7 linked regions of the Mus musculus genome follow. The protein of the gene in region 7 interacts with the protein of the main gene of each other region in a biochemical or structural test. Links are inferred from orthologs where the notes say so. Each region holds a gene or a part of one and is shown on either strand. Other genes may lie near its edges. The genes, in order: Safb, Prmt2, Flii, Mapk1, Ahr, Trim24 and Esr1.

What was found.
Region 1: the proteins of Esr1 (region 7) and Safb form a complex in vitro, tested with the Homo sapiens proteins (2 studies listed by BioGRID). The link is inferred for Mus musculus from reciprocal best matches to the Homo sapiens genes ESR1 and SAFB.
Region 2: the proteins of Esr1 (region 7) and Prmt2 form a complex in vitro, tested with the Homo sapiens proteins (2 studies listed by BioGRID and IntAct). The link is inferred for Mus musculus from reciprocal best matches to the Homo sapiens genes ESR1 and PRMT2.
Region 3: the proteins of Esr1 (region 7) and Flii form a complex in vitro, tested with the Homo sapiens proteins (2 studies listed by BioGRID). The link is inferred for Mus musculus from reciprocal best matches to the Homo sapiens genes ESR1 and FLII.
Region 4: of the proteins of Esr1 (region 7) and Mapk1, one has a biochemical effect on the other in vitro, tested with the Homo sapiens proteins (3 studies listed by BioGRID, with this or other methods). The link is inferred for Mus musculus from reciprocal best matches to the Homo sapiens genes ESR1 and MAPK1.
Region 5: the proteins of Esr1 (region 7) and Ahr form a complex in vitro, tested with the Homo sapiens proteins (4 studies listed by BioGRID, with this or other methods). The link is inferred for Mus musculus from reciprocal best matches to the Homo sapiens genes ESR1 and AHR.
Region 6: the proteins of Esr1 (region 7) and Trim24 form a complex in vitro, tested with the Homo sapiens proteins (4 studies listed by BioGRID). The link is inferred for Mus musculus from reciprocal best matches to the Homo sapiens genes ESR1 and TRIM24.

What each region holds. Positions count from the first base shown.
Region 1 is NC_000083.6:56,591,344-56,595,192, forward strand, and holds part of Safb (scaffold attachment factor B1), read left to right. Parts: intron 1-2,346; coding exon 2,347-2,411; intron 2,412-2,491; coding exon 2,492-2,698; intron 2,699-3,849. UniProt on the Homo sapiens protein: Binds to scaffold/matrix attachment region (S/MAR) DNA and forms a molecular assembly point to allow the formation of a 'transcriptosomal' complex (consisting of SR proteins and RNA polymerase II) coupling transcription and RNA processing.
Region 2 is NC_000076.6:76,235,012-76,239,468, forward strand, and holds the start of Prmt2 (protein arginine N-methyltransferase 2), read right to left. Parts: upstream 2,855-4,457; 5' UTR 2,739-2,854; intron 1,814-2,738; exon of another isoform or gene 1,811-1,813; 5' UTR 1,755-1,810; coding exon 1,701-1,754; intron 1-1,700. UniProt on the Homo sapiens protein: Arginine methyltransferase that methylates the guanidino nitrogens of arginyl residues in proteins such as STAT3, FBL, histone H4. Acts as a coactivator (with NCOA2) of the androgen receptor (AR)-mediated transactivation.
Region 3 is NC_000077.6:60,713,297-60,717,266, forward strand, and holds the end of Flii (protein flightless-1 homolog), read right to left. Parts: coding exon 3,841-3,970; intron 3,548-3,840; coding exon 3,359-3,547; intron 3,249-3,358; coding exon 3,109-3,248; intron 3,037-3,108; coding exon 2,796-3,036; intron 2,662-2,795; coding exon 2,507-2,661; intron 2,431-2,506; coding exon 2,370-2,430; intron 2,294-2,369; coding exon 2,165-2,293; intron 2,095-2,164; coding exon 1,988-2,094; intron 1,841-1,987; coding exon 1,735-1,840; intron 1,359-1,734; coding exon 1,293-1,358; intron 1,152-1,292; coding exon 1,017-1,151; 3' UTR 847-1,016; downstream 1-846. UniProt on the Homo sapiens protein: Is a regulator of actin polymerization, required for proper myofibril organization and regulation of the length of sarcomeric thin filaments. It also plays a role in the assembly of cardiomyocyte cell adhesion complexes.
Region 4 is NC_000082.6:17,014,328-17,018,176, reverse strand, and holds part of Mapk1 (mitogen-activated protein kinase 1), read right to left. Parts: intron 2,280-3,849; coding exon 2,097-2,279; intron 1-2,096. UniProt on the Homo sapiens protein: Serine/threonine kinase which acts as an essential component of the MAP kinase signal transduction pathway. MAPK1/ERK2 and MAPK3/ERK1 are the 2 MAPKs which play an important role in the MAPK/ERK cascade.
Region 5 is NC_000078.6:35,500,516-35,504,119, forward strand, and holds part of Ahr (aryl hydrocarbon receptor), read right to left. Parts: coding exon 3,198-3,604; intron 186-3,197; coding exon 174-185; 3' UTR 1-173. UniProt on the Homo sapiens protein: Ligand-activated transcription factor that enables cells to adapt to changing conditions by sensing compounds from the environment, diet, microbiome and cellular metabolism, and which plays important roles in development, immunity and cancer.
Region 6 is NC_000072.6:37,964,565-37,969,048, reverse strand, and holds the end of Trim24 (transcription intermediary factor 1-alpha), read right to left. Parts: intron 4,347-4,484; coding exon 4,197-4,346; intron 3,549-4,196; coding exon 3,339-3,548; 3' UTR 604-3,338; downstream 1-603. UniProt on the Homo sapiens protein: Transcriptional coactivator that interacts with numerous nuclear receptors and coactivators and modulates the transcription of target genes.
Region 7 is NC_000076.6:4,708,661-4,713,031, reverse strand, and holds the start of Esr1 (estrogen receptor), read right to left. Parts: upstream 2,875-4,371; 5' UTR 2,738-2,874; intron 1,067-2,737; exon of another isoform or gene 921-1,066; intron 720-920; 5' UTR 649-719; coding exon 185-648; intron 1-184.

The sequences.
Region 1 (3,849 bases), on a different chromosome or scaffold from region 7:
GCATATTGTGTGAGGGTGTGAGAAGGGGGGGAAAACAACACCATTTTAGTAAGATCTCACCTCCTTGTCACCCTCGAGAATACAGGGTGCTGACTGCCTCCTGGAGCTGTTGGCTTTGCTCATTCTAGAATCTCACCAATATAGCACTAGAGCCACAAACTCTTAGGGCTGATTTGCAGTTTGAGAGTATGTTACATTTGTGTGGTTGTAGCCCAGCAGAGGGCAAGGGTCTGTTCTTTCCTTCCTCCCTCAGTTCTTTGCCACACAGGTTGTTGTGTAGTGTCACTGAGTTCTCAAGTACCCTGTTGTTGGGTTTTGATCAAGATTTTTGGCAAGAAGTGTTACCTTGCTTCATGAATTAAACTCAGTGGTTTGAAATTCTAGAAAGGTCTGTCTCAGGTTATCTCTGCTTCTCCATGGTAGGCTTTGCAGAATCTTAAAATGTCAGGGTGAACCCCTCTGCCTGAAGGTGGACAAGACTGTACTAGCCTTTAATCCCAGCACTCAGTATATCCTGCTCTATCGAGAGCAGGAGTATATAGAGGGGCTCTGTCTCAGATGGGAGTGGTGGGGTAACATGTTTGGGGACAAAAGGCCAAATGTTCTGGGCATGGCCTCACCCTGACCTCTGCTTTGAGGGTTGTGTTTATGGTTAGTTTCATGGTTAGAAAAAAATTATCAAGTATCAGTATGGCTTCTCCAGTGGTTTGAATCAGAATGTCCCCACAGGTTCAGGCATTTGAGCACTTAGCCCCTAGTTCCTTCTACTATTTGGGGAGGTTGAGGAGGTATGACCTTGCTGGAAGCAGTTTATTACTGCAGAGAACTTTAAGATTTGAGTCTATCTATCTGTCCATTTGTCTGTGGTCATTACCACCATCCACCCATCCACCAGCTCAGCTGCCTGCCCCTTCCCCATGTCTACTGTACCTCCTCTACCGCTGTGCTTCCCTGCTGAGACGGCCCCTTCTGCAGCCACAGCCAGCTTTTCCTTCATCAGCATCTGGTTACAATGCTTTAGCATATTGGAAAATAGCCGAGAATGGTTTTCATGTTTTAGTTTTATTTATTGGAGATGCATGTTATATATAGTTTTGGCTGGCCTAGAACACACTGTGTAGGCCAACTAGCCTTTATAGAGAGCTGGACACTCTGGCTTCCACCCTTCCGCATATTTCATACACACATACAAAACTTAATAGAGAAGTTAAGGAATTCAGCAGCCCCACAGAACTTAACTGTAATGGAGATCATGCCAAGTACCATAGCTAAGAACATTCCATACTGCTCCATAGTGAGAAGGAAAAAAATGGTGCTCTTTGGAGGGAAGAGCTACAATAGCAAAATCCCACTTGGCCAGACTGTCAGAGCTGGTGAGTGAGTGTATCCATTACAGGGTGGAGTAAAAGAACAGGTGCACAAGATCCTAGGGTCTGGTGTTCATGAGCAGTGAAATGAGGTTCCAACTAGGTTTGCTGGCTCATTCCCATGACCAGCACTTGGAAGCACAGGCAGGAGGATTACTGCAAGCTTAAGGTAGGTAACTGGGCCAACATACAACCTTACTTCAGTTCTGAGGGAGACCAGTTTTTCAGACTAACCTGAGTCCAGGGGTGCAGTGCAGCTCCATGGTAGAACATCCCCAGCACAGAGAGACATTGGATACTGCTTGAAGACAGGTCATTGCTCTCCCTGAGGAGAAAAGACCTGTGAGGGTAGCCTGCCCATGTGATGGCCTGCTTACATGTTTTCCTACACCCCAAGTCATGTGGGCGTTGATATAGGATAACATAGTGTTTCAAAATTTGTTTTGTGCCCACACATCCTCAAGTGTGGAACCCCTGCTCAACACCACAAAACAAGAGTCAGGCATGGTAAACTCTTCCGTTGCATCCTAGGAATTGAACCTGAATACAAAGAAGAGTAGTAGCCCATGCTCTTAACTACTGAGCCAACTTTTCAATCTCTATTCCATGTACTTTATTTATTTATTTATTTATTTATTTTTGGTGTGTTTGCATGTGCACTTACTGAAGCTAGGTGTTTCGTTCCACCATATGAGTTCTATAGATTGAACTCAGGTTAATTTTGGCAACATGTGCCTTTTCCCTGCTGAGCCCCCTTGCTGGCCCAATGTGTGCACCTTTTGCTTGCCTGTGGCCCGTCTCCCAGGTGATTCTCCATTCTGTCAAGTTGACGATAAGCATCCCAAACACAGTGCATTGAGACCTGGCTAGATGAGAGGCCAGGTCTGTGCAGTGAACAGAGCTTGGGACCTACAGAAGTTCAGGCACCTGCTTGCACGACACAGACTATTGGCCTCATGCCCACATGCTGTCTCTTCAGGGAGGAAACCAGAAGACGAGGGTGTGGAGGACAACGGGCTCGAGGAGAATTCTGGGGATGGGCAGGTATGCATCACCTTTTTAGTGGATGAGGAGAGGGAGAGCCATGATGGCACGGTGCCATGACAGTGTCCTCTGTATTGCAGGAGGATGTGGAGACCAGCCTGGAGAACCTGCAAGACATGGATATGATGGACATCAGTGTGCTGGATGAGGCTGACATTGACAATGGCAGCGTGGCAGACTGTGTGGAGGAAGAGGAGGAGGCCACACTCCCTGAGGGCCTAGCAGACAGCACTGAACTGGTAGAAGGAGATTTGAAAGGGCTCCCAGAACAGCTGCAGGAGCATGCTGTAAGCAGCTGGTGCTGGGTGGAGCACTGGGTGGCCTGATGCAAAGTTCATGACAGAGCAGAGTAACAGGGACAGCTGCTGCTGGTCATTGTCCCTTAGGGGAGCCTGAGTTATGTATGGTGTGTGAGTACAGCCAACTGGAGCAACCACTCTGCTCAGCTGGCTGCTGCCTCTAGCTGTTCAACATCGATGCAGCTTCTCCATGCAAGTCATGTATGAGACCAGAGCAATGGTTAGAGTGGTTTAGACATGTATGAGACCAGAGCAATGGTTAGAGTGGTTTAGACTGGCCTTCTGAGCACTGTGTTACATCCCTAGGTAACGTGTGGCTCTGGTAAGTGAGAGTCCAGGCACTTGCTGCAGGGTACAAGTTCAAGCTCCCAGGCCTCAAGGCAATATGTGCTGAAGGATTTTATGGTTACAGGGTTGATGTCTGCCTAGAGAGAGGAGAGTGGGCATTAAGGACCCAGGGGCATCTTTTTGGCCTGTCAAACCTGGAGATTTGGTGACCAAAAGCCTCTGGTATTCCAACAAAACCTCAGATCTCCTACAGTGAGCATTTTGTCCCCTGCCATGAGAACTGACTGAGAGCCTATGCCTGTGGGCAGCACACTGGCTTTGAGTGAAGGGTTTGTTTTGCACTGTTAAGATACAAACAAGGTGTCATAATCAGTTTCTAAAAGGTACGGCTCAAGTGGTGGGCTCCTTGTTGGAAAGTAACACAGAGGCCAGGGTTTAGGAAAATGCCGATTGGCTGGTCGGAGGCTAATTGCAATGTGAAGAGAATGGAAGGGTAGGGGAGCATCGGGGTAAAGTGTGTCAGTGCTAATGTGCTGTGATCTTTAGCTGGCTCTCAATTCCTTCTAAGCTTTGGTCACCAAATTCTAGGTCTGACAGGTGAATGGTTGCTGCCATGGCCTTTCATGTGCCTGTGTCTGAGTGAAGTTTACAAGCAAATTGTGTTGTTGCCTCTTACTATTGTTCAGCAGGGCCAGAGGTCAGTGTTACAACTAAGACCAGCCTTCTCTTACAGCCAAGCCAGTTACCTGACCTAGAGTGGTAGCCATGCCTGTCACAGCAAGTGCGATGACTGCATAGTCACAGAGCAAACCCAGCATCCATAGCAATGAAGGCAGTGTCATGAGGGAACA
Region 2 (4,457 bases), about 72 Mb from region 7:
AAAAGAGAAATTCAATTAAAAAAAACTGATTCTTTAACAAGGTAAAACGGGCCCTGTAAAAAGGGAAATATAAATTCCTAGAACAGCACCTCTTCCCTAGTAGGGTCCAATATTAACAGAACTGCTGAGACACTCCTGAGAGTCTTCTGTCACTGGGGCAATCAGAAGTCATTTCTAAGCTGCCTAACTGACCACAATTAAGGTGTTATCTACTGACACTGTTGGGCTACTGGAGACCAGTGATCACGGGAAGTCACTTGGAAACTCAAAAATATGTGGTTCTTCCACCCTCAAAGCTCCACAAAGCCATCACTGAGCCTCTTACCTGAAGCACCAGCTATGGCAACAGGTACTCACCACAGTACCATGGGGAGGCGCGGGAGGAGATGGGGACTACATCTGAGCTCCCAGTGAAAGGTTAACAGTGAGACCCGATGCATAGTGGTTTAGAGACCACAGCATCCCTACGGCAATCCCTACGTCCCTACACTGCTGTACACTCACAGACAGAGCACATGCAGGAGACCCAGCAGTAAGTAGCCAAACTGCCCAGGTAACACTCCATAGATGCAGAAACCGCAACAGCACCAACACAAGCCTCAGAAAACACACACACAGCAAACTCAAACTTTTGTTCAGGGATCCTTCATTTTGTTTGATTGGACTGCTTAGTTGTGGCTGGCCTGGGGACCCTTATAAGTTCATAAAGGTACAGACGGTGCACAAGCAGACACAAAGCAGCCTCTAAAAGTGGAAGGAACCGTTCTGGACTTGAGAACAGATTATGACGTTAATCTTGTGTGTGTGTGTGTGTGTGTGTGTGTGTGTGTGCGTGCGCGCGTGCGCGCATGTTTTGAGAAAACTGTGACAGTGTATTACGTTTTCATCTCTGCATGACAGATCCTCAGTGTCTACAATATTATTTTATAGTTGTCTTAATATTTACATTTCCCAAAAGAAACACTGGGCATTCGTAGAATTAAAACATTCTGCAGCTGAAGATGGAAAATGATGAATGAAATGAAAAATAAATCCTACATATAAATATGCCCAGTACATACATACCCAGTCACTGGGCACGGAGGCTTTTAATTCCAGTGTTCAGGAGCCAGAGGCAGGCTGATCTCTGTGAATTTGAGACCAGTCATGTCTACATAGCAGTTCCAGGCCAGCCATAGATGCACAGTAAGACCCTATATCAATAAGTTAAGTAATTGAATAAATTAAAACCCAAGGGAAGGCATACCATTAAAAGGGACACAAAACTGGCTGATGCTGACACCACAGACATGAAAATCTTGATTTTTTTAATAAACCTTTTTATTTGAATAGTCATTTCATTAACTGTACATAATCAATATTCCTTAAGATTGAAGGAGATCTTTTCTCTGGTAACATGGATCAAACTGAATATACGTACCCAAGACAGATCTTCTCGAGTACCAAGCATTTTCCTGGTCCTATGCTACGGCCATCTAAGAACAAGTACAAGAATCTGAAGCATGCTGAAGTGTCCCCTGAAGTGTTCATGACAATACACAGCATGGGACCTAATGACCAGACCCATCCCCCTGCCTCAACGTTCTCTAAATTCAAGCATCCTCCTGTGAGCCAGGACCTTGAGAGACAAGGAGAGTGACATCACCCCTGTAAGCTGGTACTGTTCCTCTGTATGATCATTACACGTGGCTCTTACGTACCAGAACCGGGATGACCTGTGACTCGCTGCAGGGACCTTCTCCTGGTGCCTCCATAGTTCAATATGATCATGTCTCATAACTGGGGCTTTACTTCAGTTTCTCTCCCATGCCTACTTGAAAGAAGAGAGAGAAGCACAAAGTGTTACACTGCCTGGTCAGTAATCTCATTTCACGGCTACAGTTTACTGTATGTGTTAAGAATGGAACAGGATTGGCGTTTTATCATCACAATTCATTAGAGGGCTTTTTAAATTAAAAAATCCAAATGCTGTGTGCTTCCTTTAATATGCTAGATTTATTCCTCTGAAGTCTCCTTTTTTAAGAGATATTTATGAAGCCTCTTTTTACTTAGAATAAATCAGTATCATTTTTTTTAGGAACACTTAATAGCTTAAACTCAAATTAAAACACCTTGCCCAGTACTTGACCTAACCCACAGGCAGAACTGAAATCCCCATGCCCGACACCCTCCTGTTCTTTAATTCTATTTTTTTACCCCCAGGGGCAATGTAACCCTAACTGGCTCTGAGATTACATCGATTCTTTGTTTAAACGCCTGTTGTGCGTCCAGATCTGGACTTCATACTTACTTCGTAATAATTAGAATCACAAATTATTTACAATTATATTTTCAGTGAAAAGCCTGGGAGGGTGCCCGGAGGAAGAAAGACAATGAATTGGAGGGTTCTCCAGGCCAAGCAGATGAGGCCATAGAGGCCAAGAATATAGAGGCATGGGGGATGTGGCTCGGGATACAGAAGGCAGGTGGGCGTGGTCCTGGAAGGGCGTGGCTCTAAGAGCCAGCGGAGGTGCGCAGGGGGAATTGAGAGGTGCAGCGAAAGGAGAGCGAAGAGGGCGGACGGTGCTGAGAAAAGGGGAGGGGGTAGCTGGAATAGAACCTTCGAGAGGGCACTCTAAAGCCTCCAGAGGGGGCGGAGGCCTCAGTGCGCTGGAGACATGCACAGGGAAGACCTTTTGCCTAGCTTGCCCTGCCTCACTTGCGATCCAGATGTCTAAGCTGTCCATTAAGAAACCTACCTCAGCCGCGTTTCTCCGCTGAATTCTAGGCTATACCAGAAAGGAACAGACGATGCCCACCCGAAGCCTGAGCCGCCGCCCTGGACCTGCGCAAGCGCGGAGCACTCCAGCTGGCCGAAGAGCACGCCCCGCCCAGGCCTGGGTGTCCTGCGCAAGCGCAGTGTGTATAAACTCGGTGCTGGTAGCTGTAGATAGTCTTGAGACAGGGGTTTTCTCTAAGAGCTTGTCACTCAGCGCAAGCGCATTTTCTGTCCCTGCTTCCGGCCGGTCGCATTGGGCCTTAAGGCTGCAAGACGCAGGTGAGAAAGTGTAAGGATCGACTTACCGGGAGATCTGTGGGAAGACTGGACTCCGGGTTGGAGGCCACAGGTGGTGTAGACCGCGCCCCCAGCGGATTCGAACCGAGGCAACAATTGGCAGGCTGAAGCAGGAGTGCGTACTAGCGCTGTCCTGAGTGTACCTGGGACTGCCGGTGTGTTTGATGCCCTTCTCCGAATGCTTAATAACCTAGTTTTGATCTGAATCAGCTTCTGCAGAATGGGACCCCCCTACAGTATCTTGGACTAAGTTTTGATCGTGGAACCAACATAGCTACTGAGACACGAAACACACCAGAGACCCCAAGTCCTGAAGATCCTGTGCTGAAGGGGTTGGGGGCGGAGGAGCAATGACACTGACATCAGGTGACCCTAAGCAAGGTTTCTTAAGCTTTCTCCACTAGCAATCCCATCCTACTCAGAAAGTTTTTCAGCGACTCTAGGTATCTAAAATAGGCATACGAATCAAACATTTACTGATAAGTGAATCAGAAAAGAATTTATTGTAAAACTCGGCATACACACAATTTTACCACTGACTAGAGACAAAAGCAGATTTGCATACTAATTAGGTGGATGCGTTTGTCCAATATAATCTAGACACTCTAATACATGCTGAGGAATGATAGGGAAATATTAAAATTCTTTGTTTTCTATAATTAAACCATCATGCTTCGGTTCGTGCAGTAGAAACACCACAGCTCATAACATAATCAATCATTCCAAACCTGCTGTGAGGCATCTCAGGGCTTGCAAGGCTTGTGCAAACCACACCTGTTGTGCCTTCAGTCCATCGGTTCAGTGGAGTCGCACAATGAACTGCAGCCAAGGGATGGGTCTGTCTGTGTGAGGACCTGGTCCTTTTTTTAAATCTGCCCAGTTTTCCATTTCCACCAGATGAAGAGGGCTGAAGCTCTGAGCCAGGATGCCACAGGTTGAAAAGAGTTTCCCACAATCTTCCAAGGCAGAAAAAACTGTCCTCAGAGCCCCCAGTGTGGCAGGCCTGAGACCTATTCTTGAAAGCCTGCTGGTGCCACGAAGCTCAGGCTCCAGGCACTAGGATCCACCCTTGCTAACCTAACATAGGAAAGGGTACCTGTGGTGGCTGAATAAAGAATGTGGCTTTGTAAGGGCTGGAGGTGGCTTAGCAGTTAAGAGCAGTTACTGTTTTTGTAGAAGACCCAAGTTTGGTTCCCAGCACCTATGTTAGGTTGCTCACAAACCACCTGTAACTTCCAGCTCCAGGGGACTCACTGCACTTGGGAGGCCGAGGCAGACGGATCTCAGAGTTCAAGACCAGCTTGGTCTACAGGTTGAGTTCCAGGATAGCCAGAGAAACCCTGTCTCAAATAACCAGAAAAAGAAAATTCTTTTTGTAAAAAGTGGAGTGTGATGCCTGCAG
Region 3 (3,970 bases), on a different chromosome or scaffold from region 7:
ATTCCTCGAAGCCTAGCTGCCTTCCTCTGGCTGTCAGGCATAGGGGATCCACAGTCATGAAAGGGCCTGGCCTGGCAGCACTGAAATCCTGTGCATTTAGAAGGCCACCTCTGACCCTGTGGGTGTAGGAGTTGATGCTTATCCAGTCCACAGAGCCCATTTCACAGGAGAGTCACTGAGGCTGATAGGTCCTGCCTATTGAGCCAGCACATGGACCTTATGTGCCCCTACCGTATCTTGCTATGGACCCAGCCTAGCTGGAGACTGGAGCTCTCTGGACCTTAGTAGCTAGTGCCTCTGCAGCCTACATTGGGCATAGATAACTAACCATACCCTCTTCTACTTGGTACCCTCCTAGCTCCCCAGCAAGCCCATCTTGGGCCATCACTGAAAGGGGCTGCCTACCCCGCAGGCAGGCATGACCTGGGTTTGCTCCCCTTAGTCGTCACCATCTGTCGGTCTTGCCTTGCCCCTTAACACGGACCCGCTGACTGATGCTGGGCCCTGAACACATCCCAGCCTCAAGCTCAGCCGGAGGGGTGCGAGCATCCTTTTGCACTCCATACTGTACTTCCTTTCTCCTCAAGCAGAGTATTTTTCTAACGCCTGGACTGAGCTGGCCAGTCATTTCTAAAGCAGTTTTGGTACTTGCTCCTGGCCTGTGTGTATTGTGTGCTCCTGTGACTAGAGACTGCTGGGCGTCATGACTGAAGTCAGTCAGAGGTGTGTGTGTGCGTGTGTGTGCACGTGTGTGTGCGGCAGTGAGGATGGGCTTCCCTGTAGATGCCACCTTCGGCTTTTCTGTCTTTTTTTAAAAACTAGTTGTTTTAATATTAAAAGTACTGATTTTTTAATATTGAAAATAAAAGCATTTAATATCTTTTAAACTACATCTGCACACATGTGGACACACTGGTGGGGCTTGGGGCTGTGTGCTGCTTGCAGGCTGTGGCTAGCTGAAGCAGGTACGAGGAGTCCTCCTCTTCCTCACTGGAGTCTGAGGTCATAGGTACTGCTTAGGCTGGGGCTTGGCGGAACGTGCTCCAGGCGTGGAAGCAGCGGGTGAAGGCGCGCTGCTCATTACCTTTGCGGACCAGGCGCAGGCGACGTGGCCGCTCATGTTCTTTAGAGCGTGTGTGCTGGATGTATACCTGGTAAGAAAAACAATGGGCCTGGGTAGTCCTCTAAGGCCTGCTGGACTGACCACTGTGCCCCTTCCTCAACGTCTATCCAGGATGAGGGAGGGACAAGTGGCTCCTGAAACCGTCAGGCTGGCTTCAGTAATCTCTTACCTGGCAAGCCTTCAGACTCAGTTTGATCTCCACTTGGCTTGTCTGGGTCCCAACCCACATGTAGACCTGAGGATACAGAGGATGAAATGGTCACATGGGTTTCTTGGCCCTTTTGATGTTTATAGTGCTTTTAAAAAAAAACTGAGCCCAGGCTGGGCAGTGGTGGCGCACGCCTTTAATCCCAGCACTTGGGAGGCAGAGACAGGCGGATTTCTGAGTTCGAGGCCAGCCTGGTCTACAAAGTGAATTCCAGGACAGCCAATACTATACAGAGAAACCTTGTCTCTGAAAAAAAAAAAACAACTGAGCCCAGGGCCTTTGTATATGATGCTCAGTGCTCCACATGTGGCTGGTGGGAAGGCTGCCCCTGGCCCCAGTATTCCCAGCTATAGCGTCTCATCTTAATCCAGAAGGCAGGCTCTGAGGTGGGAGAATGTCTCACTTCTTGGCCATTGTCTAGCAGCATGATGTCATCGTCTGCCAGGTCATCTTGGCAAAAGTCAGAGCATTTCTCAGTCACTGCGAAGTAACCCTTCTCATTGGAGCACCTGTCGGGCAACAGCCAAGGTGAAGGGCAAGGTTAGAAGGATCCACCTGAAGAGCCCTGTGTGCTTCATGTACTTTGTGTCATTGTCATAGGCCTTGTGTGTCCCCGTGTGTGCACAGAAGCTAGGGGAGGGATGAGGGGTACTCACCTGAAGAGCCTCGTGTGCTTCATGTACTCCGCATCGTCATCATAGGGTTTCTGTGCACCAATGCCTACCCAGAAGAAGTTCTCTGGCTCCTCGCCTTCATTGATGACCTGTGAGAAGGGCTGGTCAGCCAGGGCCCTCATCTGCTCTTCCCTTCCTGCCTGCCCCCACCTCTGTCACCTGTTTGCTGTAGGATGCATCAAACATAGTGTTCAGGATGTCCTCTGCCAGCTTGGCTTCGTCGGGGTCTGATGCCCGACCTACCCAGGCATACACAATGCCTTGGTTGTCCTCGCTTTCAAAGGGGACCTGGGTATGCACAAGTGCTTGGGTCAGCTTGATTCTTGCCCACCACCCTGCTCTGCTGTCCTGCCCACAGCCTCACCTTGAGGATGAAGCAGAACTCAGAGTTGAGAAGGCTGGAGTCAGTGTTAATCTGGATGCACCTGGGGAGGGGGTGGTGGTGTCAGCAGTGTTACCTCCACCATGGAATCCTGTCCCCTCCCCAAGCCAGGTACCCACCGGGTGCAGAGGGCACTGCCGTTGGTGCGGATCTGATAGAGGGTCGGCTGAAGAGTACCCTGGGTCACCTTCCTCTTGCCTCGGTGAATGATGAACTTTCTTTTGAAATGGGATAGGAACTTGGGGTTCTCCTGCTGCTGTGTCATACGTACTACCTGGAGATCAGAAGTGCTGGGTAGTTCCCTAGACCCTGCCTCCAAGGGCCAAGCTCCCTCAGGCCTGGTTTGATCATACTACCATCCCAAGCACAGGCCATGGGGCACAGTTCAGGGCTTGTGTGAATACACACCTCCAGCTTGCCAGGGAAGAGGCTCTCAAACTTCTTCTGAAGACTGAATGTGAAGGTCAGCCAGCCCATGTTGGAGGCCTCCCGGCCCTGCCAGAAGTAAACGATGCACTGAAAGTCCTCCTCTGGCTGCTTCTCCTCTGCCTCCGCTGCTGCTTCCTCCCCTTCTCTGGCCTCTGCCGAGGCCTTCCCCTCCTTGTCTTCTGTCTTCTCTTCCTCCTCGTACTCCACAGGTACCCAGTACCTGCGATTCAAACAGTGGTGAGCAAGGGTTGCACAGGGAAAAGAACAAGAGGCTGAGGTTTTGCTCTGGCACCTGCAGAGGAAGACATAGCAGTCCTGTGTGTAGAAGTGGCCAAACTCCTCCTCTGGCAGTCGAGTGAACTTGCGGCCCTCCAGCACGAAGCCCTCCATGCCATCCAGGTCCTCATTCCACTCCTCCATCAGCTGCTCTGCCTGTTAGCCGTCATCAAGGAGATGTGAGCACCATGCTGTGCAGAGCCCCTCCCTCTCATGTCCCCCCCGCCTCCCCTCCCCCTCCGCACACACACAGAGGCCTCACCCACCTCAGCCAGGGGCATGGGGGGCTGCCGAGGTAGGAAGAGTGCAGTGAGGTCAGCCTTCATCTGGTCTGTCTTCTCAGTGTCACGCTTCACCTTCCCAGAGAGGCCCTGGCCCTGAAGCACAGCCTCTGCATTCCGTGTGTAGTCCACTGTCAACACATCGTCCCAGTTCTTGAACTTGGCCTTGAACACCTGTGTTGAACAGTGTAATGCCATAGCTGGAGGGGCATAGCACAACTAAGGTCAGAGGCTGGAGAGGCTAGAGGGATTGTGTAGGCCTGGAAAAGCTGGTTAGCACTCGGGGTAGCGTCTACCAGGAGCTGGAGCTAGGGCTTGGGGAGGTGTAGCTTAGCAAACAGAAGTTGGGACAGGCTACAGAGGGGGTGGTTCAGCAAAGAAAAGTGGATTTGGCCACCTCTGTAGTAGTTGGCCAGCAGCAGAGGGCATAGGGCATGATGAGCAGGCTTCTGGGTGTGGGGGCATACCTGGGCCTCGGTGCCCTCCAGGCTGCGGCTGACCACTGTATGTCGTGGCCGGTGTAGCATCCCACATAGCTCCTGGCCAAGTTTGAGTGCTGCTGCACGCACTAGGCGTGGGGACTTGCGGCCCAGCCAG
Region 4 (3,849 bases), on a different chromosome or scaffold from region 7:
CTGGGCCATCAAAAGAAAGAAGAGACTGAAGAGAACACGGCACACTCTCGTGGAAGAAAACAAACACTAGTCCTGCCACAGGTGGCTTGTTGTGGGCCTACACTGAGACTTGAAACAGAATATCGGTCAATCTATTTTAAAAAAAAATCTTTTTTTTTTTTTTTGAGACAGGGTTTCTCTGTGTAGCCTTGGCTGTCCTAGGACTCACTTTGTAGACCAGGCTGGCTTCGAACTCAGAAATCCGCCTGCCTCTGCCTCCCAAGTGGAATACTGGTCAATCTTGAAGTCTCAACTTCTCTGTTCTCCAAACTGTCCACTATTAACCAATTTCCTCCAAAGCTTAAAGGGCATGGTAGCCAACAAACAACACCCATCTCTTTGGCCCAGAAGCAATGTGTAATTGTATTGCACTGTTTTCTTTGCTTCTTGTCACCAATATCCTCACAGACCAACCCAGAAGTACTGGCCTAGAAATAGCATCGCCACTGAGTCCAATCTCTGCCTTTCTTCCTCATTCTCTAAATTCTGCATATGTATTGTAAGACCATAAGGTGTGTAAAGAAGTTGATGATAATAGGTTCTGCTCTTTAACCTCCACTGCCTAAGCACCTAAAACTTCAGCTAAGCCACATTATTTCTTATGAAAATTAAACTGTAGTAACCTTTTGCTTTTAACATTACTATAATGATGTTTTATTAGGGGAATTTTTGCATTTATTTTTACGCATAAATACTATTCTATTTTCTACAGGCTAAATGAGATCAGTCCCATGCTTGAATTAAGCAAACCTTATTTATAAAAGGTGTTCTTCTCTGACAAAAGGTAACAAGAGCAACACGTGCAGCAGCAGGAGGCTTTCCCTTGCAACACCACCCCACTTACTAACAGACATGCTTACAAAGACAAAAGCTGCCTAGAAACATGGAGCTGCTGTTCCTACAGGTCCTAGGAGGTGGACTCTTCTAGACCAGCTCACCACTGATATCTAATGCTGGCTACAATTACATGTATCAGAATTGATCTGGTCTTCAAGACCTTGAGGTCCAGTCTATTCTATTTTTTATTTTTGTTTTGTTTGAGACGGGATTTCTCTGTGAGGCCCTGGCTTTCCTGGAACTCTTTGTAAACCAGGTTGGCCTCGAGCTTAGATATCCACCTGCTACCACCTCCCAAGTGCTGGGATTAAAGTGCATCACTGTGCTCGACCCAGTTACTTTAAAGATAAGGAAGCTGAGGCTGAAAGAGGAGCACACTAGGACTGTCTGGAAGACACTGATCTGGTCAAGTGTACATCTACTAGAGTACCTACGTCCTGTTGTGAAAGCTTGTTTGACTCCCTTTTCACTATCATAACAGTCATCATGGGATTGGAAATTACATGAATCAACTTTCCAAAACTAAGATTAAAGAAAACTATACAGAAACTGACAAACACTTAACTTATAGAAAGCATATTAAAACTAGTTACAAGAAAAAAGATAAAATTAAAAAAAAATCCTTTGGGGCTGGTGAGATGGCTCAGTGGGTAAGAGCACCCGACTGTTCTTCTGAAGGTCCAGAGTTCAAATCCCAGCAACCACATGGTGGCTCACAGCCATCTGTAACAAGATCTGATGCCCTCTTCTGGAGTGTCTGAAGACAGCTACAGTGTAATTACATATAATAAATAAATAAATCTTAAAAAAAAAAAAATCCTTTAAATACTAGGTAAGCGCAAACATTATAATCTCCTCTTAGCATACTTTTACATATACGGGAAGAGTGATTAAAAAACTCTTTGTGCAAGCTGGGCAATAGTGGCGCATGCCTTTAATCCCAGCACTCAGGAGACAGAGGCAGGTAGATTTCTGAGTTTGAGGCCAGCCTGGTCTACAGAGTGAGTTCCAGAACAGCCAGGGCTATACAGAGAAACCCTGTCTGAAAAAACCCCAACCAACCAACCAAACAGCCAAACACCCCCCCCCCACACACACACAAAAACAAACAAAACAGAAACAACAAAAAAACCCTCTGTGCACTTTTTCTTGATTCCAAGTTATTTACTCTACAAAGTGACCAAGCAGCAGTGGCAGCAGCTAACTTTAGAAAAGGATACACATCTTTCATTTGCTCAATGGTTGGTGCCCGGATGATGTCATTGATGCCAATGATGTTCTCATGTCTGAAGCGCAGTAAGATTTTTATCTCTCTTAGGGTTCTTTGACAGTAGGTCTGGTGCTCAAAAGGACTGATTTTCTTGATAGCAACTCGAACTTTGTTGAGATTATCATAAGCAGAGCTAAAAAAAAAAAAAGAAAGTATGTATATGAAAATTAAAAATAGCTCACTGAATTACTTTGTAGAAGGAACACAAACTTGTAAAGTATTGAAGTTTTAACATCTGTCACATCTGTGTTGATAATTAGTTGATACCTATGGAAGCAGCAGATGTAAAGTAGCAGCAGATGCTGAACCTGACATTTAAGAGCTGCATGGCCTGTTCACGAGACGAATGCCCACTTCTATAAACCTGACACAGGAAACCACCACATTTTCCTACTGTCTTAAAGAGCAGATAACACTTTGATGAAAATGCCATTTCTGCCTCCAAAACAACTATCCATAGTTGTTACTGAATTCTCTGACACAGCAGAAACACCAAATACCACCAACCACATCTTTATCCCTAAAAAAACAAACAAACAACAGTTTTAGAAAGCTTTACTGCCCTTTATCAACCTCTTTCTCCGCCTCTAAATTGTATTTTATGTGTATGGATGTTTTGTCTGCACACTATCTGTACACCTCATGTGTACAGTGGCTTTGGCAAGCATCAGATCCTTTGGAACTAGAGTTCCAGGCAGTTGCTAGCTGCCATATGGGTGCTGGAAATAGAACCTGGGACAAGAGCAGCCATCTCTCCAGCCCAATTACCAACTTTCTTATAAGCAAAACACAGGTCTATTTCTGGTTGTTACTAGGATAATTTTCTAACAAAATCTACAAAGTAACCTTCACAGCCATAGGATGGGAGTTTTTTCCAAGCTATACTTAAGACCCAACTACATAATCCGAAAAGAAGGAAGCAAAATCTTGCTTTTAATTTTAGGATGGTTTAAAAGTTTAAATATAACTACTATCTTTTTTTGGGGGGAGGAGGTCATGGGCCAACAATTTACCTAAATATTTTCTACAAAAGCATTTTATATTAATGTCAACAACTGACCAGTGACTAAAGCACTAAAAATACTGGCAAGCAATAAAATATTTCCTTGTTTCCTTACTAAGTGCTTAAAAAAATGAAATGGTATTTACTGACATCACTACTGATGCCTCTGACTGAGTGTAAAAGTCTGTTTTAGGAGTAGACTTGTCAGTGGCTGCAACCATCTCACAATGCTATTACAGGCTGTGCTGTCCCAAAGCACTTTGAAATGATACACAGTTCTTAAACAGGATGACCATTTAAACATTATTTTCCTTGGTTTGGTAGACGAGGGCCCAAAGCAGTGGTTCATGAGGAGGCAAGCAAAAGCTTGTATAGTTTAGGCAAGTGTACTCAATATTGGGATCTACTTTTAAAGATAAACACCCCCTTTGATAATCGTAACAAGAGCGAGTTTACAGTTAAAACAGGTTTGGGATTGTTGGCTCTGTGCTAGAAAGCTGCCTGGTAGCAGCATAAAGCCCTGGAATTTGATCCTTCAGCATGGTAAAAGTTAAAATTAAGTAAAAGGAAACTTGTAAAACACTGGCCAGAAGAAATTTGACATTATAAATTCTTATTTTTTATAGAACACATTAGTCAAATCTGGTTTGCTTTACAAAATTATAATCTACCAGGACTGGTTTTCATTTGTTTATTTTTA
Region 5 (3,604 bases), on a different chromosome or scaffold from region 7:
TTCTGGTATCCTGTTCCTGAATGAATTTCATCCTGGCATGGGAGCTACAGGAATCCACCGGGTGTGATATCGGGAAGAGGCCGGGCTTCCGCCAGGTGATGGAGATGGCCAGTGGTCTGAGCAGCGTGGCCAATGCTGCTCAAGTCGGACGAATAGGTTTCATTGAAAACACCTCAACTCTGCACCTGAGAACAAACACAGCACAGCAGCTTGTTAGGATCTGAGGAAGACCTTAAAAACGACTTTTAGTCTGTTAGACCTATGGGTTGTTTCACTTTACAGTCCTGTACTGATGATGCTCATGGCTAAGTCTTTCGTCATTCAAATCACACAGAGGAAACGCTCACACACTGACTTCTTTTGGAAGATCAGGTTTTCTCATTAGTCCTACAAGATAATTTAAAGATGGTACAGCGAACGCTACAACTATCTCACTTCGTCTGCCTTGGGGCCTGATGGGAAATTATGTGACATGGGGTGTCAAAGGGTTATTCAGTCCTGCCACAACCAATCAAAAACCTGGAGGCAGTGAACTGATTCTATCCGAACTTCTACACAGCATTTCAGACACCAGCACTTTTGCCCAGATCTGGATTTTAAATGTTTCTTGCTATTCTTGCAATGTTACACTACAGGTATGATCTTAATCCAATTTATTTGTAAAATGTGTTTAATAAATTGTTCTGCAAGTTACCAAATAAAAAAGATGCTTGGTTAGCTAGTTGCATCAGAGAGGAATTTCTCAATTGAGAAAAGATCAAACTGTAGCCCCAGCACGGGCTGAAGGCTTTTTTTAAAAACAAACAAACAAAACCAATTTTTTAAAGAGAATGGTTATTTCAAAGAGATTGAACTTTTAATGTGCTCACATTTGTAAAGACTGTGGGACTTTTAAAGTCATTTATGTTTTATATTGTGGTAGTAATATTAATGTGCTATCTTGGGGATAAATGCGAAAGGAAAGGTTCTGTCTGAAAAATGTTTTGTGTCAGGTTGACAAGGAGTCAGTTGTTTGGCTAGTTTTATGTCAACTTGACTCGGCTAAGGTCACTGAGGGGAGACAGCCTCAATTGAGAAAATGCCTCCACTAATCTGGCTGTAGGCAGGCAAGCCTGTAGGGCATTTTCTTAATTAGTGATTGATGTAGGCTCAGCCTATTGTGTGGCTCTATAAGAAAGCAGGCTGAGCAAGCAATAGAAGGCAATCCAGTAGAAAGTACTCTGCCATGGCCTCTGCATGAGCTTCTGCCTCCAGGTTCCTGCCCTGCTTGAGGTCCTGACCCTACTGCTTTTGATGATGACCTGTTATGTGGAGCTGTGAGTGATTTAAACTCTTTCTTCTCAGACAGCTTTTGGTCACGCTGTTTCCTCACACCCTAACTAAGACACCTGCCTTCTTACCAGTCTCATATCCAGAACTGCTAAAACAGTGAAGAACGAATATAACAGTTATAGTCTACAGAAACTTCACATTGTGGTGTAGTTGATGAAATAAACTGAGATTAAAATAAAAATCATAAAATTATCCCTTTAGTTGCCTCAAATTACTCACTTCTTGTGTAGTGCTGGAGGTCCAGTGAAGGGCCTTGTGCATGCTAACCCGGCTCGACCACTGAGCTAGCTATACTCTTGACCTTTTGTTCTGTGTCTCACCATTTTCCAGACTGTCTTCAAATTCACTCTACAGCCCCAACACCAGGCATGAGAAAAACCCTTTTGAGTTGCTGCTCAGGGTTGTCCTACAGGTAATATACAGACTGTGCAGGTTGTATTTAAATATTTAGGAACACACACACACACAGAGCAATGAAAGAAAAGAGGCCAAGAAACTGAAAGAGAGCAAACATGGTAGATGGGAAAGGTTGTAGAAAAAAAAGGGAAACAGAAAAGGAATACAATTATGGTTCATTTCAAAAATAATAAATTAAGAATAAAATATTATGTGTATAGTTGTTTTGCCTGCATGATGTATGTTTGTATGTATACACACACACACACACACACACACACACACACACACACACACACGTGCATGTGCAACACAAGTATGCAGTGCTCAAGGGTGCAGAGAGAGCACTGGGTGCCTGGAAGTGGAAACTGTGGACTGTTCTGAGCTCCCATGTGGGTGCTGGGGATCAAGAAGGGTAAGCAAATGTTAATTGCCAAGCCATCTCTCCAGGCTAGAAATGTTGTTATTTTTTTCACTGCCGCACAATTACTCATATGAACAGGTTACAATGTGACATTTCAATTCATCTATATAGTGTGTAAGCAAATCAGGCAATTATCTTTCACTGTGAACACTCATCTGTTATTTGCATGAAGAACCTTTGATTTCCTTTTTTTCTAGTGATTTTGAATCATGCAATGAACTGTTGTGAACTTCTGTCATCCTGCTATGTTGTAGAAGAGCCGAAGTTACTCCCACTATCTGTCTGTTACTACCCAATAGCCAGCCCCACTCTGCGGCCATTTCCAGCATCTGAGGGATCAGCCTTGGAGGTTTGCACACATGGATGCTCTCTATATTCTATAATGTCCTTCAGACACACCGCTTTGAGGCAAATACTAATATTCTATTCTTTTATGAGTAAATTATATCCAAAGTATGGTTAATCCATTTTCTTTATAATAACTATTAAAAATTTTTAGGAAATCTTTTTCCTAAAAATTTTCAGGAAAAAGATTGACCAAAACTATCATCTTCATTCTCCATTCAAAAAAAAAAAAGTCCCATACAATCAGACACAGCAGATTCACTCACAATCTAAAAAGCAACCAGGACTGTGATTTAAGCCACACTTTTAAATGGCTATACTCAAACAGCTCATGAATAGTTACTTAATAAACTTCATGTTAGTCAAGATATTCTTACAATCTAAACCAGTATATCTTCAAATAAGCTAATATTTGTAAAGAGAAATTTATTAATATAAGCATGATATCCTCCTGAGGGGGTAACAAAGAACAGTTATTAAATTATCTAAACATCAACTTGCTTTTAAGAAAATTATTTAAAATAATTTATTATTCATACTATTTTAAGTAAACTATAATGAAGTTAATTACGTGACCATAAATATAACGAAAGCAGTTCCGAAGTTGCTTGCTATCTAAAATGGGTTATGATGATATGTTTAAGTGTAATACAGAGATGCTTAGGCCTACAAGGTTTTTTCAGCTGTCGAAAGCCCTTACCTTGCTTAGGAATGCCTGAGAACCTGGAATTTCAGAGCTGTACTGCGTCTGGTCCACAGGGGTGCGCTGTGGCCCTGGCTGGCACTGATACATGGACATGGCCCCAGCATAGTATGCCTGAGGACTGACCATGGCGGACTGTGAGTTTATCCCATGACTTTGGTTTTCAGGAACTTGTAAACAACTGACAAAATCTAAATTAGAAGTAGTGGGATGCAGGGACGGTTCAAAATCCCTTCCAGGGAAGTCCAACTGCACACTCTTGGAATGTTCTGGAAGCAGAGGCTGATTACAGGGAGCAAAGTTCTGTGTGTAAGGCACACTGTCCACCTCTGGTTTGTAGGGAAATTCCTGAGCAGTCCCCTGTAAGCTGGAAAAGAGCTGATAGTGCTTTAGTTCCTGCTGGG
Region 6 (4,484 bases), on a different chromosome or scaffold from region 7:
GGAGGAAGAGGTTTTATTCTCCCCACTCCTGTCCAGGAAAGAAGTGGGACCTGTGAATTCAAAGCACAAAGGGACCATAATGCCAGATTCTGATGTAAGGTGTCATTTGCCTTTTGTCTGCTCAGTCCATCTATGCTTCTGTGAGTGTCCCTACTGCCAGAGAGATCTCAGGTGCTTAACACAAGGGAAAGCTTTTGACTTGGAGTTAAGCAAAAGCAAATCCTACCCCCAGCTTGGACTGCATATCTAGAATCATCTTTCAAAGGCAATGATCACGTTCAGGGAGAGCAGTGTGTGTGACAGGGGTTTTACACTTTAAGACCATACATCCTGGAGCTTTGATCCAGGGCTCTGAAAACCAAACTTCCTAAGTTACTGTCAGAGGTAAATGCCGGAATAAGTGTAGGTCAAGACTGCTAAATCATAATGAACATTTTTTTCCTTGTAGTTTGGGTGGTGGTGGTCTCAAAATCAATATGGGATAGAGTTTGATTTTTGTTTTTGTTTTTTTCTTTAAGCTTCTATTACACGTAAAGCCCATTTAGCTTGGACCCACCTGAACACATTGGTTCTTGTCAATGATTATGTCAGGATAGCAGTGTTACTTGTAGAAAAAACTCAAGACATTTACTTTTAATATATTATTAAATATCATTACAGGAAACATGGTACTCAACTGTCTTTCATTCAGCAAAAACTGTTAATGGTGAAATGTAACATTCTTTTGAAAGGTTACTGCGCCATAGAATATAATAGTGACTGGGATAGATCAGTAGACATTCTGGCTAAAATACATAAAAATTATATTTACCTTATTTAAGCCCTACCTCCCCCTTAGTGATAATTCTCAAAATAATTTACATAAGTACTGTTTTAACTCAGGTGACAGTTATGGAAGACAATCTACCAGAGAACAGTATTCTAAGATAGCAAAAAGAAAGGTATTGCTCAGAGTTCCACAGCCGGAGCTTGAGATGGCTCAGTGGTTAAGAGCATTTATTGCTCTTGCAGAGGACTCAGGTTTGGTTCCCAGCACCCATACGGTCGGTGTCTGACCATCCTCTCTAACGTCACTTCCAGGGTATCCAATGCCCTCTTCTAGCCTAGGTGGGTGGGCACCAGGCACACACATGATGCACATACGTATATGCAGACAAACATGCATACATATGAAATAAAAAAATAAATCTTTAAAATATTAAAATAAAAATGGTTCACAGCTGCTACACTTAAAATGCTGGACTAAATCACAAGTGTAACCACTTCCCACAAATAATAAAGCTAGCAAGAGAGCAAGCAAGCAAGCAAACCAACCAACCCCAAAGCTGAGGGCATGGTCGCACACTACTTTAGTCCCTGAACCAGGGAGGTAGAGGTAGAAGGGCCAGAGCTGAAGGCCAGACTGAACTGAACATAAAACCCTATTTCCCCAAGGGTCTGTGCACTGTCAAACTTTGTTCAGACTGTTTCCAGAACAAGTGCCAGCTGCATGTTCAAATCAACACGACAAACATCAGCACACAACACACATTTAGAAAACGGATGAAGACTGTTAGAGTGGTCATGTATAACGAGTATTATACAGGTTGTTTAGATAAAAGGGATCTATTGCTATTAAGGCAAGAAACAATTGTAGCTCTGGAATAATGCTACACAGAAGTCACCGTCTCCCTGCTCCTCCCCCACAGCGGCTCACACAGCGGACGATGACCTTCAACTTCCCATTCTCCTGCCTCCACCTTCTAAGTGCTGGCATTGTGAGTGTGTGCATGCCACCACGGCTACTATGTCCAGCTACATTTTAATTCAGGGGAGGTCATGTGACCAAATAAATCCTCAGGTCAGCTGTTCTGTCAACCTAAAGAAAAAAATTTCTCTAGTCAAACAATTAAAATGCTTTAATACTAAAAATTTACTATGGCAAACTAAAACTGTTATTGTATTTTGTCAAATATTGGGCTAGTACAACAGTACTCAATGATTTTATTCTACCTTAATCTCATTTGGTGCTTTGTTTATCTGAGCTCCCCCCACACCCCCCAAAAAAACCACCAAACAAGCAAAAGGAATCTTTTTTCTCCTAAAGAAAATTAAATTCTGAATTAAGGCAGATCAAAGATGAAATATAAAGTTGTTAAAAAACAAATCAAGGAAACAGAAAGCCAACAAAGAATAGTTCCTAGAATTCCTTCCCCTTCCCCCAAATGATCTCTTCCCAACTCCACAACATCCGCTTATTTGAAATGAGAAAGACAGATTGAAAGCCCATTCAGGGAACTTCAACAGGGCAGCCCCAGGGCACAAGCTATAGAAATCTATCAAATATTGGTGCCCCCTATTGTATATTTGATGCTTCTACTGAGTGTGACTGTGAGCCTTTGGCTCACACTTTTAATCCCAGCATTTGGGAGGCAGCGGCAGGTAGGTCTCTAAGTTTGAGGCCATCCTGGTCTACAGAGTGAATTCCAGGACAGCCAGGACTACAGTAATACTGCAGAAATAATGTCTCAAAAAACCCAACCACTCCGCCCTTCTCCCCCCAAAAGAAAGAAAAGCCACTAGCAACTTGCAGCTCTGCACAGTAAGGGGAGAGTGGAGGGGCGGATCAAACAGCAACACTTGACACACACACTTCCTCCCTCACCGAAGCTGAAGAAAAGGCCGATCTAGCAATCCATGAGAGAATGGCCCTTTAGAACTGCTATGCCCAGCATCTCTAACAGACAAGATAAAACAAAACAATAACCAAACATTTGTTTTTCCTGATTTTTTTTTAATGCAGTTGCCATCTTACATGGACACTATTTGGTGTCTTAGTAGCATCTGTCTACACCTTTTCCGGCAGGCAGCCTGGCAAAGAACTCTGCTTCCATTCACGTTTGGGGAGGACTTCATTTAAGAATAGTAACAGGACTATCTCCTTACAGTTGGCCATAATTAATGGGTAATGAAATTAATATTCTAAAAATGGATTATCACACATCCAGATCACACTAAAATCTCAACTTATGTCAAACTCTATTTCTTTCTTAGTGTAGCACTCACTCCAGGCTCCTGTATGAAATCCAACAAGGGGAAGAATGTCTTTTCCTTCTTTGCTCTTTCTTCTTTTTCTACCTTCTCTTCCTTCTTTTATTCTTGTACACATTTCCTTCCTTCCTCTTCTTTTTATTTTCATTGACAAGAGGTTAAAGAAATGGGTTATGAAAGAAACCAAAGTCCAGTAAACAGCAAAAACAGAGCAGAGAGCTCACAAACCCTTAGATCACTGACAAGCCTTTTGCTGTCTTTAGTTTTGATGAGAAATCTCTAGCACAGCGCGCTGGCCCAGTGCGGCGTTACTTAAGCAGCTGGCGATCCTCGGTGCTCTTGAGACGCTTCTTCCGGGGCTGTACAAAGTCATCGTCTGAGTCGTCACTGAACTTACAGTCTTCTGCTTCATGCCTGAATTCTACCTTAGGAAACCTTTTTTCTGGATAAAGATTCTTTAGAAGTTCTTCAAAATAGCTTTCAAGTTTTATACCAGCATTGGCTACTTCAGAATCAGGCTGTGGGATAAAAATACAGGTAGGAATTAACACCCAAAAGACCCAGGTTTCGTTAATAAAAATAATCTCTCACAATTCTGTTCCTATTTTGCACACGACTATGAAACTTGTAATGGACTGTTGGAAAAGTACTTAGGGATGTCACTAAGATAAAACAAAATACTAGTCTGGGGTTACACTTTGTACTGACTCCTTCCAGAAGGAGTGGTGTGACAGGGATGGGTCACACCAGCAAGGTGACAAGAAGATCATGGGTAGGATGAGAAACGTCAACAAAAGAACAAACAACAATGAACAAAAAAGACACAGTTATATAAAGTGAATTGAGTAGATTTTAACTGAGAACTGTTTGGTACATCCTTACTATTTCAAGATAAACTCAGAAGTCAAAGTCTAAAAATGCATAGCTTGCAAATCAAAGGAAGGAATGATAAATCCTGACTCTACACTGTCTCAGCCTCAGGCAGGCTTGGATTTGCACTTACCACACATAAACCTTTGCAAACTCAGTGTGGATAAGCCTCCTTAGCAAGCTCTGCCATGCCCTGGTAGACACGCAACATTGCACAGACACCTTGGGACCTCCCTGCTGGCAAGCTGTCTGGTTAAGATCACTCTCCACATTGCTGTGGCCTCGCCCCATCTCACCTCATTGAATTCAGCACAGTTTTGAAAGATCAATCTAAAATCAGCTACAAAGTCTTCAGGCTTTGTATACATGCAATAATCCTCCTGAAGTCTTTTCTTGATGGTTGACAAGTCCATTGGGTTTTTAATTATTTTATAATAATCAGGCACCTTACAAAACAAATGAGTTATTATAATATAAATAAGTAAATTGTACCCGGTCCTATAGTATATTCTATTTTTCTTCATTTTAGTTTGTCATTGGTGAAAAACAAAATCAAAGAAACAAGCATTTATAAATAGCTACTA
Region 7 (4,371 bases):
TTGCTGTTGTTGTTGTTGTTGTTGTTGTTTGTGTTGTTACTGTTGTTTTAAAGCTGCCAAAGAATCCTTTCTGACTTCCCCGAGGGCTGGGATGGGGAGACCTGCAGCCCGCGGTGACCCCCCTCGTGCGCTCCCTCCCCCGGCCAGGCCTTACACAGCGGCCACCCCGATGTGGCGCGGGTACCTGTAGAAGGCGGGAGGGCCGGTGTCGCGCACGGCGTAGGCGCTGGGCTCGTTCTCCAGGTAGTAGGGCACCTGCTGGCCGTGCGGGTGCAGGAAAGGAGACAGCTGCGGCGGCGGGTGCAGCAGCATCAGCGGGCTAGGCGACACGCTGTTGAGCTGGGGGAAAGCCCCCAGGCTGTTGGCACTGAAGGCGGCCGCCTCCGACCCGGGGCCGTAGGCGATGCCCGACTGGCCGTAGACCGGCGCCGAGGCGGCGGCGGCGGCGGCGGCGGCGGCGTTGAACTCGTAGGCGGCGCCCTCGGGGTAGTTGAACACAGTGGGCTTGCTGTTGTCCACGTATACCTCGCCCAGGGCCCTCTCCATGGGCATCTTGAGCTGCGGGCGGTTGAGGGGCTCCAGCTCGTTCCCTTGGATCTGGTGCAGCAAGGCCATTCCCGAGGCTTTGGTGTGAAGGGTCATGGTCATGGTAAGTGGCAGCCGGCGAGTTACAGACTGGCTCCCCGCGCACGCAGAGGGCTCAGCAGCGCGTGGGCCACCTGGAAAAAAGAGTAGAGCCTGCGATTAGAGAAGGCGCAGCGCAAGTCCCCCTTGGCACGAGTACTGGCCCTGGCCCTGCCTCTGCCCCTGCGGGGCAGAGCTATCCTGCAGAACACAGGTGACCCAACTCCAAGGAGCGCACCCAGACGCTCCCGGGTTCTCCAACTTTACATACTCCTCTCCTCTGCTCTTAGACAAACCTGCTGGAAGCCACTGGCCAGGGGCTGCAGCTTCCAGGCACTACTGGGAACATCACACTGTGCGTGCACCCAAGGAACCGCTAGCTTCCTTGAACTTAACTTTCCAGGTCTTCGCTGCTGGATTTCGCTGCAGGGGGTGAAAGCAGCAAAGGGACCTCCAGGAGCCGCGCCCCTACCACTCCCCCCATCCCAAGGAAGACTAGGTTTGCAACAAATGCAGACTAAGCCACAGGCCATTTTCTTTCTTTCTTTCTTCTTTTCTTTTTTTCTTTCTTTCTTTCTTTTCCTGATGTGTTGCCTGTGTGCCTCTGCCAAGCTCCAATCTGTCTCTGTTTTGTCTTCCTTTCTATTTGATTCAGTCTTCTTGTTGGCTGGAAGTACGCAGTGTATGCATAGAATGACCCTGGAGGGACGGTAACTGTATCTGTAACTGAGATATGGCAAATAGGATGGGGTGTGTGATTGCATATGCAGCCAGCCACCGACAGCTATATTTAGCACCAGTGGACACAGATAGGAGGCATCTAGGGCCAGACGAGTGGAGATGGACTATGTATAGGAAGAGCTGCACTTGGAGTCAAGAGAAAACTGCCAGCCTTCAGCTTCCTCTTCTGACAAAAAAATAAAAATAATAATTTTTTTAAAACGCTCCCCAAGAAAGCACAGCCATGGCAATTTTGCCCAGCCTAGCTTTTCTGTTTTTGTTGGACCCCGGTGCCAAATTTGCTTCCTTTAGAAATTCTCATGTGGATATGATTCAGAAAAACCTTCGGTTAGGCACACTTGGGTGTCCCTACCTTCCACAGGTTATGCAACCAAAAATTGGGAAAACCATGCAAGGACTAAGACATTTTCCCATAAAATATCACCTGAGGTCCTTGACTAAAGCTCTGGCGATCCGGTAACCTTGTCTGTCTAACCAGAAACTTTTGAAAGGCTCTCCTACCTTTCAGCTCTTGAATTCTACAAATGGACCTTCTGGGTTCCCTTGGCATAGGGTACACAGGAATCTAATACTCGAATGACAGAGAAGTTAAAATAAGTTTTTTATTCAGTATTGAATTAAATTCTGATTGAGCTCACACACACCTGTTATTGCAAATTTAGAAAAAAATTGCAGCTTGGATAGTTTGTACTTTCTTAATAAACTGCATATGCCCCAACCTAATATCCCCTAAAATAACCATTAGCATATGACTTGAATTGCTAGCCCATATACCCAGGAGAAGTACCTGACACATGCAAATGTCAAGGTTGCTGTTACTAATAGTAACACTTTAAAAATATTTTCTACTAAGCACACTATTTATCTAATTCTTAGAAAAACAGATAATTTTGGATAAACCACAGCTAAGCTGGCTTAAATCTAAAGACAAAGATGAGTTTTAGCACCCATAAGTATCATTGACAGCAAAGGAAGGGTTAAAAATACATTAGGTGAATCGCAGATATTTCTCTTTATGGCCAGCAACCATGACTTTCTAGAGCAATTTTTTCGTAGATGATTTAGTTCCCATAAATCACACTTTCAATTTTCAAATGCCTTTTAAAAAACACATGCAAAAGCAAGCACTTCAGATGAGACTCTTTAAAAATCTGAGCCTGCCAAATTATATATAAATGGCACAGAGAATCCTACAAGTCCGGAAAGCGGGAAAAAAAAAAAAAAAAGCCGCACAGATTTCCCCCCATAGAAAAACAGCACAGCTTCCTTCTCCAGCTAGGAGACAGACACTAAGCAGAAAGGTAAGTTGCTTTCTCAAATCGCTCAAGCTACAGAGAGAGAAAGAGAGAGAGAAATCAAAAGCCGATCCTACCCTGCTGGTTCAAGAGCGTCTTTCCAGAAATGTTCCATGGGTTTGTAGAAGTCAAGGGCTGAGACAGTAAGACGGAAGGAAGGAATGTGCTCGAATGATCGAGTGGCGCGGTGTGTGATCAAGGCAGAGCGTGTGTGGATGTGTTTGTATGTGGAGTGGCAGGGACTCTCGGGAAGCAGCCAGTAGGCAGGGCACTTGGCAGCCCCTCCCGGCAGACAAGGCAGCTGGGCTCCTGCACGAGCTGGATGAATGGCAGCGGGAGTCCGGGAGCCTTGCTGTCTGCTGAGGGACAGCAGTAGCCCCGCTAGAATCAGCATTCCTAGAAGAAACTCCAGCCCCCTTTGCTCCCTACCTGTAGAGCCAGAAATGTCCCGGTGCTTTCTATGGAGAGGGAAACTGAGATGGCTGTGAACCACAGGCTCACAGATAAACTAGAATGCCAGTCAAAGTGTGCAGAGATCAAGTTTATAAACTATGCCAGGATATCTTCTTCCTAAACGATGTCATTTAACAAGAAAAGCCTTCTGGGATACATATGAGTCAAGCCCTCTAGCCCTACTGTTCCCCTGAATAAGATGCTCAGTGACAATGCTACCAATAACATACAAAAGTCAGACTTCGCAATAAATATTTTTGGCATTCCAGGGATATGTTTCCAACTGAAATGCAAGACTCCCTCACTTCATTAGTCAAACCTACCAGCCTCTCTACCAATAGCCTACTGACTACTGTCTGTAAACACATCCCAGAAGAGGCATTATTTTAATCGTAAAGTTGGAACCATAAAATAGCTTTGCGTTAAAGCGATTACACGTTCACAGCTGTAGTTACCAGCATTGGTTGCAGACAGAGATCTTGTACCTCCAGTGCTGTCCCATGGATACACCTGGTTCTCAGTGCTTCTCTCCACCACAGTACAACACAGATTAACAAGGTACTCTGACTGTGTCCTCACCCTGGGTCCCAGGACACAGGAGGCCTAAAGGAGCCTTTGTTGTTTAGTAACTACTTTAGGTATTAAGTGACTCTAATCACAACGCCAGGAGTGGCCGGTCTCCAGCCCTAGGACCCTAGGCAGTTACCAAGAGATATATGAGTGGCACTTGGGCCAGTACAAAGAAAGAAATAGAAAGAAAATACTAATGATATCATGCTGCAACTATACGTTTTTGTGCTTGGAAAGACTCAAGGTCATTATATCGGGACTTAGACAAGTTCCCTCAACAATCAGCAATGACCATAAATATCTAATATATAAATAAGTATCGAGAAGTTGCGGTGTGAGTAATGAAGCATTTGCCTAGCATATGGGGAGTCATGGGTTTGAGATCTAGCACTGTATAGATGAACAAACAAATAAATAAATATTGGGGGAAAAAAGATTGCTAACCCTTTGTTGGTAATAGTGTTGACTCCTGATGACAGGGGCCCCTCCTGTAGGTCAACAATGATGTCACACTCATCAAGCCAGTCCAACTAAACTGTGTAACAAAAGAAGGAGAGATGGTAGAAAAGAAAGAAAATGAGTCAAGGAAAGTTGGTGTGTGTGTATATGTGTGTGAGAGAGAGAGAGAGAGAGATCTGGACATCTGGAGATCTGCATAGGAAGGGTATGAGAAGGCAGGTATCATCTC